2 linked regions of the Mus musculus genome follow. Each later gene encodes a partner of the first gene's protein in a complex. Links are inferred from orthologs where the notes say so. Each region holds a gene or a part of one and is shown in the gene's direction. Other genes may lie near its edges.

What was found.
Region 2: Emc2 (region 1) and Emc9 share a complex: the UniProt entries of both Homo sapiens proteins name them as parts of the ER membrane protein complex. The link is inferred for Mus musculus from reciprocal best matches to the Homo sapiens genes EMC2 and EMC9.

What each region holds. Positions count from the first base shown.
Region 1 is NC_000081.6:43,511,010-43,515,416, forward strand, and holds part of Emc2 (ER membrane protein complex subunit 2), read left to right. Parts: intron 1-690; coding exon 691-801; intron 802-2,735; coding exon 2,736-2,840; intron 2,841-4,407. UniProt on the Homo sapiens protein: Part of the endoplasmic reticulum membrane protein complex (EMC) that enables the energy-independent insertion into endoplasmic reticulum membranes of newly synthesized membrane proteins.
Region 2 is NC_000080.6:55,581,786-55,586,907, reverse strand, and holds the start of Emc9 (ER membrane protein complex subunit 9), read left to right. Parts: upstream 1-1,653; 5' UTR 1,654-1,798; coding exon 1,799-1,996; intron 1,997-2,152; coding exon 2,153-2,229; intron 2,230-4,648; exon of another isoform or gene 4,649-4,782; coding exon 4,783-4,852; intron 4,853-4,932; coding exon 4,933-5,027; intron 5,028-5,122. UniProt on the Homo sapiens protein: Part of the endoplasmic reticulum membrane protein complex (EMC) that enables the energy-independent insertion into endoplasmic reticulum membranes of newly synthesized membrane proteins.

The sequences.
Region 1 (4,407 bases):
AATAAAAGCTAAAACATGTAAATATTGAAATGAAATACTTTTCAATTAAAAGTTTAGATAAACTGAAATTTGTTGTGATTTATTACAGTATTTGTGGGTTTCTATGTGTCTGTTTCTTTCCTAATTATGAATCAGTTACATCATATTTAATTGTTATGAGACATTTATAAAGATAATGGAATACATATTCTAGAAAACTAGAATATTGACATGTTGAAAATAATGTGTTTAATTTGCACACTATTAAGAATCACAGTATAACTAAATGCCACAAGGTTACAAATATGTCATTATAAAAGAATATAAAAAGACTATTGCTCTCATTTCTAAAGTACACAAGTAAAATAGGAAATTTGTCAAGGTCTAGATTTATAATACATGTAATAGAAAATACAATGTTGTGTAACAGCAAGACTATTGATACAAAAATTGTGCTCTGCTTTTTAGTGTGACAACATTTTGGTTATAATAGCTACTCAAAGATCTTAATGTTCAGAGGAGAGAATAGTTCATCAAGAGCTAGGGTGTGTTTTACATTTTAGATTAACTACCTTAATGTGAATTCTTTTAGCATGTTGCATTTGTTTAGAGAATATCTGTTCTCATTACATAAAGCCTATGTATGATGGAACATGCTACATTTCAGAGTAGTAAAATAAACAGGTTTCAGCAATCTGCAACTTTTAACAGGTCAAATACACCCAAGGTGGACTTGAAAACCTCGAGCTTTCAAGAAAGTATTTTGCACAGGCACTGAAACTCAACAACAGGAACATGAGAGCTCTGTTTGGGCTCTACATGGTGAGTTGATGTACGTGTTCAACGTCACTTGACGGAGTCTGTCATTTAAAATGCATTTAACTGTCCTTCCAATCTCTCCCTGCTTGCTTTTGTATTCTTTTGATGAGCATAGTTAATTATGACAAGATGGTAAAAAATGCTATAATTGTGAATTTTAGTACATTCTTGCCGTTTGACATTTCAATTGAGGCATATTTGACTTATCAGAACTAAACAGTATTAAATACTAAAGCATAATGTATATTGTCCATTTGTTTTGATGTTCTTGGGATTTGTGCCAATTTTTATTGTACTTATTTCCTAATATTTTAAGCTATGTCAATAAAAAGTATTAAAAATAAAATCAATAGTATATCAAATTTTAAATATTTTAATAAGTGTAAAAAAGCAGTTTGGAAATTATATGTGAGATTAAATAGTTATTATTTATGTATGCCTCATAAAGAGCTTAGAAAAATCAATTAACAAGACCTATGGGAAGAAGGACAATTTGCAGAGCTTTAGAATATTTCTAAAATGAGCACCTGGTTGCAATCAGAAACGCTAGGAAAATAAACTCTAATGGGTCCTTAAATCTTTGAAATTGTGGTATACCTGTTTGCTTATTTTTGAATATTTATCATTTGAGAATTTCAAACATGGATGTAATGTTCTGATAAAATTCACTTTCTACTTCCTTCTGCCTTTTGCTATGTTCCCCCCTTCCTCTCTCAAATTCATACACACTTTTTACAAGTATACTAATTAGTGCTGACAGTATTTCACTGGTCTTTTTTTTTTTTTTTTAATGGATTCTTTATGGATGTCTTCTTGTTGAAGCCAGTGAAAGAGAATTGTTTGAAAGTGCAGCAATAGGAAGAAACAAATGAGATGATTTTTAGGAAAGAAGTAAGGTTAAAATATGCCTCTGAAAAATGGGAAGGAAGTTTTCTTTGATTCTACCAGAAACAGTTCCAGTGGCTTGGGGATGTACTGCTGCTAACACTATCTAATAAGTCAAACAACCATCTTAGAAACTCCGTGGCAGTGATTACTAACAACCGCTTGCTTATACAGAGCATTGCTCTGAGTCTGAGATTTCATTTTAAATCAGTAGTTATTCACATCAGTCATTTAAATAAATTCTCCAGTTGCTACCTGAAGTTCACAAATGGTGCAACTGAGATACAAATATAATTAATTTCAAAGCTGACCGTAACGCTACTATATTTAACTGGGATCCCAGCCCCAGAAGTTGACTATTCAGTTTTTCAGCCATTGTATTTGCCTAAGTTCACACCAAACATGTAATAATATTTCATAAATGTATAGAAATTGCTATAAGAATACAGATACAGCAAAATTTTGTGACTATTCTGGTGTTTAGAGTATAACTGGAAAGCTCTTGGTATAGAGTAAAAGACAAGTCAGGTAGAGATAAATATCCTCTTTATCTCAGAGTTCAGTTAACTTGCTTTGTTCAAGTTAGATAATTCCTATCGGCCTGAATATGTTTTCACCTGGTCATATTGGAAGTTATGCTAAATTGTTTTTGAGATCTCTGTTAATATTTGATAATTAAATATTGGAATTTTGCTATTCTTCAGTGTCAAGAAATAGCAGTAACCTAAGCAAAGTCCTTTGTTATGTATAAAGTATCTTTCCCTAGTGATAGAGATTTTAGCTCTAAGGGCTGATGTAAATACATAAGTAATTACACTTAAAATACACTTTAAAAATATTCTTTGTCATGTTATTTTGGACTATGCTGCATTTTAACTTATATTTTAAGTTTAGAGTATTGATTTCATTCAATATTATTTTTATTTTAAAATTGTTTTTGCTTCAGTGTTAAAACTTGTTATCAACTCTCTACAGCTATGACTTTCATGTCTTTATTATCTTAACTAGAAAGAGTTTTACTTTTGATGTTTCTTTTTCTTGTTTTGATTTAGTCTGCAAGTCATATTGCTTCTAATCCAAAAGCAAGTGCAAAAATGAAAAAAGACAACATCAAATATGCTAGTTGGGCCGCTAATCAAATAAACAGGGCTTATCAGGTTAGTATTGGCAATTTTGCTATGTATATTACTGGATGTATTTCTTTGTCACTTTGATCCCTGTAAAGTACAAAGCTAAATGTCTATCACTGAAAGTTTTTTCTAATGCCTTAGGCTTTTAACAAATGTTATTTTTATGACCTTTCCCCAACAAAACAATCTATTAATTTTATGATATAATTAATCTCTTATTTGTAAATTTTCATTTCTTAAATAGAAAAGAATTATAAAACCCCGACGTTAAACTAGAAGATGCAGCTTAGAAGCACATTGGAATTGAGAATGCAATTTGATTAGATGTGCCTCAGAAATAAAGAGAAAGGCCTAATGGCCAACTAGGCAGACCTCACCCTAAAGCCTGCCCTGTCTGTGTGCACCGCAGAGCTTCCATCAAACCTCTGTTTGTTAGTGTTCAGGAGCTCCTCTCTAGGGGAAATTCTTTTTTTTTTCAGGGGACTTTGTTCATGGGAAATTTGTTCATGAGAAAAATACATGCTTGTATATTTTTGACAGCATTTATATTTATAAAATCCTTTGGCAGTTCATACATTGGTTATCATTTACTTACAGATTTTAACCATATTTCCCCAGTGGCTTTTCGATAGAATGTTGTCCAGAACCCTAATGCCACCCTGACTTTCACAAGTCACTTAGACTTTTACTTTGTTGTCCCAAAGAAGTTTTTCTTTAAGTCAGTATGTAACTTATTTTCTTGTTTTAGGGTCACTATGTCTAAATGCACAAAACAGTTGTTTCTAGGATTTAGTCCTGTTGAGAAAGATAGTCTTAGGAATTCAGTTTCTTTTCTCTTGTAAGATTCCAATTATAAATGCATTCCTTCACTGTTCTTGCCTCTTACTCTTTTTCTTTTTCTTTTTTTCTGTGATTCTGTCATTTTAACATAATAATAAGCTATGGTGTTTGTTCACTTTCTTTTTCTTTTTCCACATTGAGTTGGTAACTGTGTGGGATGGGCACTGGAGATGTGATAAGGTAGCTTTCCTGGCCTTACTGTGTCCTCCTCCCTTTGTTGCTGAGATCTCCGTTATAACCGCTGGGTGTCTGGTCTTTGTGCCAGTTAAGCCTGACTTGGTTTTCTTTTCTTTTCTTTCTTTCTTTCTTTCTTTCTTTCTTTCTTTCTTTCTTTCTTTCTTTCTTTCTTTCTTTCTTTCTTTTTTTTTTATTAGAAAAAAATTTATTTTATTTTTTTTATTAGATATTTTCTTCATTTATGTTTCAAATGCTATCCCCTTTCCTAGTTTTCTCTCCTTAAGTCCCCTATACCCTCCCCCCGCCCTGCTCCTTAACCCACCCACTCCTGCTTCCTGGCCCTTACATTCCTCTGTACTGGGGCATATAATCTTCACAAGGCCAAGGGCCTCTCCTCCCAATGATGGCCGACTAGGATTTTCTGATTCTGGTCTTCAGTTACACCTCACAGAGTTCTGTAGGCGTGGAGTCCTCTGAGCCTGTGGTGTCCACTCTGCTGTTAGCTCCTCCTCAGCTTCCTTAGATCATTTCTTCCTCCTGTTCCATGTTTCTGTCCTATGCAATTTGGTTTCGGATG
Region 2 (5,122 bases), on another chromosome or scaffold:
ACAGATCCTTCTAAAGAACAGGGCAGAGCAGGCCACGGTACTGCACACCTTTATTCTCAGTGCTCAGAGGCAAAAGCAGAGGTAAGGGGTTCTCGGTGTTCAGGGCTACCCTGGTTTACATAGCAAGTTGGGGGCTAACCAGGGCTCTTAAAAAAAAAAAAAAAAAAACAGGGTAGAAGACTGCAGCCATGCAGGTAACCCATATTTTACATATTTGAATATGCCAAGGGTATTTTAATCTGATCTCACGAGGACTTCCTAGTAGAGGTTTTGGATCCCTTGTGGGAGGAGTCAGGCTTTGTGGCTGTGGTATGGGAATGAAGAAGGAACAGTTGGGGAGCTGAGAGCAAGCTTGAGGGGAAATGTGGTTACCCTGAGATGTCTCAGTGCTGGCAGAGAGGAAAGATCTTTAAAAGGCATCAAACTAGAGCATATCACCATCTACTGGACAGTACTGGGGGTGGAATTGACCTTTTATCTCTTGCCCACTCCCCCAGTTGGTTTCTGTCTTTACATTTGTTGGGATTTCCATTTTATATTTAATCTGTGTGTATATGTCTGTGAGCGAATGCCACATGTATGCCACCAGATCCCCTGAAGCTGAGTTCACTACTGATTGTGAACCACCTGATAAGGCGCTGGTAACAGAAATTGGGTCTTGACTGCTGAGTCATCTCTGAGCCTTTTTTTTTTTTGACAAGGTCTTCCATAGCCTGGGCTGGCCTTAAACTATGTAACTGAGGCTAACTTTGAACTCTAGATCCTCTTGCCTCTACCTCAGTAGTGGGATTGATTGCAAGTTTAGGATTCACTTCTGAGAAGGTGGTGGAGACAATGGGCCTCTGCTATGTGGCCTGTTAGATGTTCCAAGGGGCTTTTGAAGTAAGGCTCTTACCCTGTTTTAAAATATGGCATAAGAATATTTTGTGTTCTTATCAGTTTGGCGGATTGGAATTCAGTGCTCATATTTAGTCCCTAAAGGGACTTGAACTTTGCATTAAAGACGTTGCACCACAATGAGGAAGCCAAAGGTCAGGGCTTGCAGTTGGGAAGATTAGGCTCCTTATCTATGGTGCAGGGACAAGGTGACAGTGTTGTCACCATTCCCAGCTAGGAGTGAGTACTTCACCTAGCAGTCTTTGCCCGAAGCCCGTAGGGGCAGGCAGAGCAGGTAAACAGGCGAAGCCAACTTGCAATAACCCGCCAAGTCAGAACTGGGTGTGGTGGCACAGGGTCTAGGGCTTTCAACTTCAGAGACAGAGGCAGAAACCTCGGTGAGTTTGAGACCTGCCTGGGCTGAGACTTTGTGGTATCCTCCTTCCCTCAAACAGAACAAAGCAAAACCCAAAACATAAACTAGGTTATTTAGCTAATATGTCTGTGGGCAATTTTCTTTCCTTTGCCCTAGTGCGTTCTTTCCAATTTGCTCCAGGCCAAAATCAAGACTATTTTTTTTAAATTTTGGATTGGGCAAAATAATAATGTCACACCCTATCAGAGAGTACTGCGGAGGCGGGACTCTTGGTTAGGGTATGACCCTGAGCTGGCCTGGGAGCAAGTGCGCCTGCCCGGGAGTGGCTAGAGAGGGGAGTGATTAGAGGGGGTGGAGCTCGGTGCCTCCCGTTGCAGTTGGACCGAATTCTACCTTGCTAGGGACGGGCTGCAGAGAGTGGTCGCCAGGCGTCAGGGGCATCTTACACCCAAGTGAGAAGGGAGGCACAGGGCGAGGCCAAGCTCGCCTCTGGTGGTCAGGGAGCCGCCTTAGTGGGGGTTCGGGTGCCGGCAGGCCCCGCTCGCTATGGGGGAGGTGGAGATCTCCGCCCGAGCCTACGGGAAGATGTGTCTGCACGCCTCTCGGTACCCACACGCTGCTGTCAACGGGTTGTTGCTGGCTCCCGCGACGGGGTCCGGAGAATGCCTCTGCCTCACCGACTGTGTGCCCCTCTTCCACAGCCATCTGGCCTTGTCCGTCATGCTGGAGGTCGCGCTCAACCAGGTTGCGACATTGAGAACCCCACCCCTTGTCCCTCTTCACCCCACCGACCCCTTTAGGACCCTCAGCCTAAATGCATGCGCAGTCCGTTGACCGTGGTGTGCACTGATAAGAGCCAGAGGCATGATTTAGTTACTGACGGCCCCTTTCTCACGACAGGTGGATGTGTGGGGCGCGCAGGCCGGTCTGGTGGTAGCTGGGTACTACCATGCCAATGCGGTTTTGGATGACCAGAGGTGAGTTGGGAAGCTAGGGGTGGGAAGAGAGATAATTGTGGCAATTGTGGGTGAGGTACAGATGGACCAAAGTCGTTCCTTTTACCTTTATTTTTTTTTTTAATCAAGTGTTGGCAGCAGGGCTGTATGCCAGATATTACTGAGTACAGGAGTGAGGAGGTATCAGAGATCAATATGACAGAATCCTGCCCTGAAGGAGCTGCAGTGGGGGAGGGACAGACAGACTGAGGTGTCTGTAAGAACTGAGGAAGTGCGACCAGTAACTTAAAAGCGACTTTAAAAAGTATATGTTATATAAATATACTCTACAGACCAAATGCATTTGCTATGGGTTAATTAAGTTCGATCTATTGTCATTTGCTTCCCTCTCTGCACTCAGTACATTCGATGTCTTTCCATCTCGGGATCCACCTCACCCTAACAGCTGTACAGTATGAATATGAACAAACTGTAACTTAGTTACTGCAGTGAACATTGAAGTTATCTCAGTTTTTAAATGCAGAGGTCTTATTACAGTAAAAAAAATTTTTTTTAATTATATTATTTGTTTTTTGAGACAGGGATTCTCTGTGTAGCTCTGGTTGTCCCAGAACTCGATCTGGAGACCAAGCTGGACTTGAACTCATATCGTCTGCCTTTGTCTCCTGAGTGCTGCGACTACAGTTGTGTTCCACCATGCCCAGCTAAAAATATATTTTTTAATAGCAGGAAGAAGAAAAAAATATATTTAATATGAGCATGCTAGAATGAGGGACAAAGAGATCTGTTAAAACACTGTTATTCCCCAAGCCTGTCTCCTGGGTGAGTGAAGTTTAAATAAAGGGACAAGGATATCCATATCTAAGCAGTCAGAAGCAAGGCGTGGTCGTGCCTACCACTGACCCCTTTGTATTTTAAGTCATCTGTGACAAGCTGTGTAAACCTCTTGAAGCTGTACATACACAATGAAACAGATGCTGGGAGGGCCTCTGAAGGCCCGCCATTATACCTGGATGCCAAGCCCTGCCATGTAGGTCTGGGTCTGTTTTGACCACAGTGGCCAGATGACATGGGAGAATTGGGGTTCCCTTTTGGGGATTCTTAGTCTTATTAATAAAAGAATTTTAAACTCAATGGCAGGAGCTGGAGAGATGGCTCAGCAGTTAAAAGCACTGGCTGCTCTTCCAGAGGACCTGGGATCAATTCCCAGCACCCACATGACAACTTACAACTGTCTGTAACTCCTGCTCCAGGGATCCAACACCTTCATTCAGACATACATGCAGACAAAACACCAATGCACATAAAATAAAAATAAATTATATTTAAAAATATGTTAAAAAAAACCGCTCAAGGATGGTTTAATTAGAGTTGAAAAGAAAGGCAAGACTCAGAGGAAACAAGCTGTGCTTTCCAGAGAAGAGAGGAAAGAAGGGAAAGAACCATGCCCTATAAACGAGCACAGAGGACAGACTGATCGCAGACAAGCCCAGCACGGAAGTCAGACTCATCCCAGACAAGCAGCCCAGCTTTAGAGAAAGAGTAAGGAAGCACAAAGGATCAGAAAAATCACACTTAGGTTCTGGGCAGCATCTGAAAAGTAACAGGGAAAAAAAAAGTTTTGCCTTTCTGACTCAGGCCTCAGAAAGTTGGGCAGATGCAGCCACACCTCATGGTGGCTCCCAGAGATGGCAGAAACGACTTCAAGTTAGCATTTAAAGTAACTGGTTCCACTGGGGCATGTTCATACATACATACATACTTCTTCTTCTTCTTCTTCTTCTTCTTCTTCTTCTTCTTCTTCTTCTTCTTCTTCTTCTCCTCCTCCTCCTCCTCCTCCTCCCCCCCTCCCCTCCTCCTCCTCCTCTTCCTCCTCCTCCTCCTCCTCCTCCTCCTCCTCCTCCTCCTCCTCCTCCTTTTGGTTTTTGAAGACAGTTTCTCTGTGTACCCTTGGCTGTCCTAGAACTCACTCAGGCTGGCCTCGAACCCAGAGATCCATCTGCCTCTGCCTCCTGAGTTGCAGGATTAAAGGCATGTGCCACCACTGCCCAGCTTCATACTTTATTCTTAATTGTCCCTCCCCATGGAGCTCCCACTGTTCTGCCCCACTTTTGCTGGTCCCTAACTTCCTATCCAGTAAATTCTTTATAGTTTTTTTTGAAAATTTTTTATTATATTTATGTTTTGCCTGTATTATTTGTATACCATGCAGTGCCCCTGGAGGCCAGAAGAGGGCGTTGGGTTCCCCTGGGCCTGGCTATCAGTTGCCATGTGAGTGTAAATTCAAACCCAGGTCCTCTGGAGGAAAAGTAGTTAGTACTGAGCCATTGCTCCAGCCCTGTTCCTTTTTAAATTTGGATGATGAAGGCAAATTACCTTACCCAACGCCTACTTTAGATTTCATCTCTCAGCAGCAGTATCTGAGACCTGTTTCCCACAGCATTGAAGCATCCAGCAATCATGAATCAAGCATTACGCATACCGGACACTCCCAGGCTAGGGGCCGGGAGCACTCGGGAGACCTGGGTCTGCCCTCAGTTGGCTGCTCATTCCTCTGATCTTCCCTCTACACAGCCCCGGGCCTCTGGCCTTGAAAATCGCTGGGCGAATTGCAGAATTCTTCCCCAGGGCAGTGCTTATTATGGTGAGACTGGGGCTTTAGAGTGGGGAGGTGGGGAGGGAGTGGGGGAGGGTCCTTAAGACTCTCACCCTTTGTTCACCCAGCTGGATAATAAGAAATTGGTGACTCGGCCTCGTGTACCTCCAGTCATTGTCCTGGAGAACCAGGGTCTTCAGTGGGTGCCCAAGGACAAGAACTTGTGAGTGCTCCCTTCCCTCTGTCTCTTGGACACTCAACACTTGAGGCTTCTTTTGTCCCTGCCCTACGGCTTCTCCAGACACAGTCCTTAAGTCA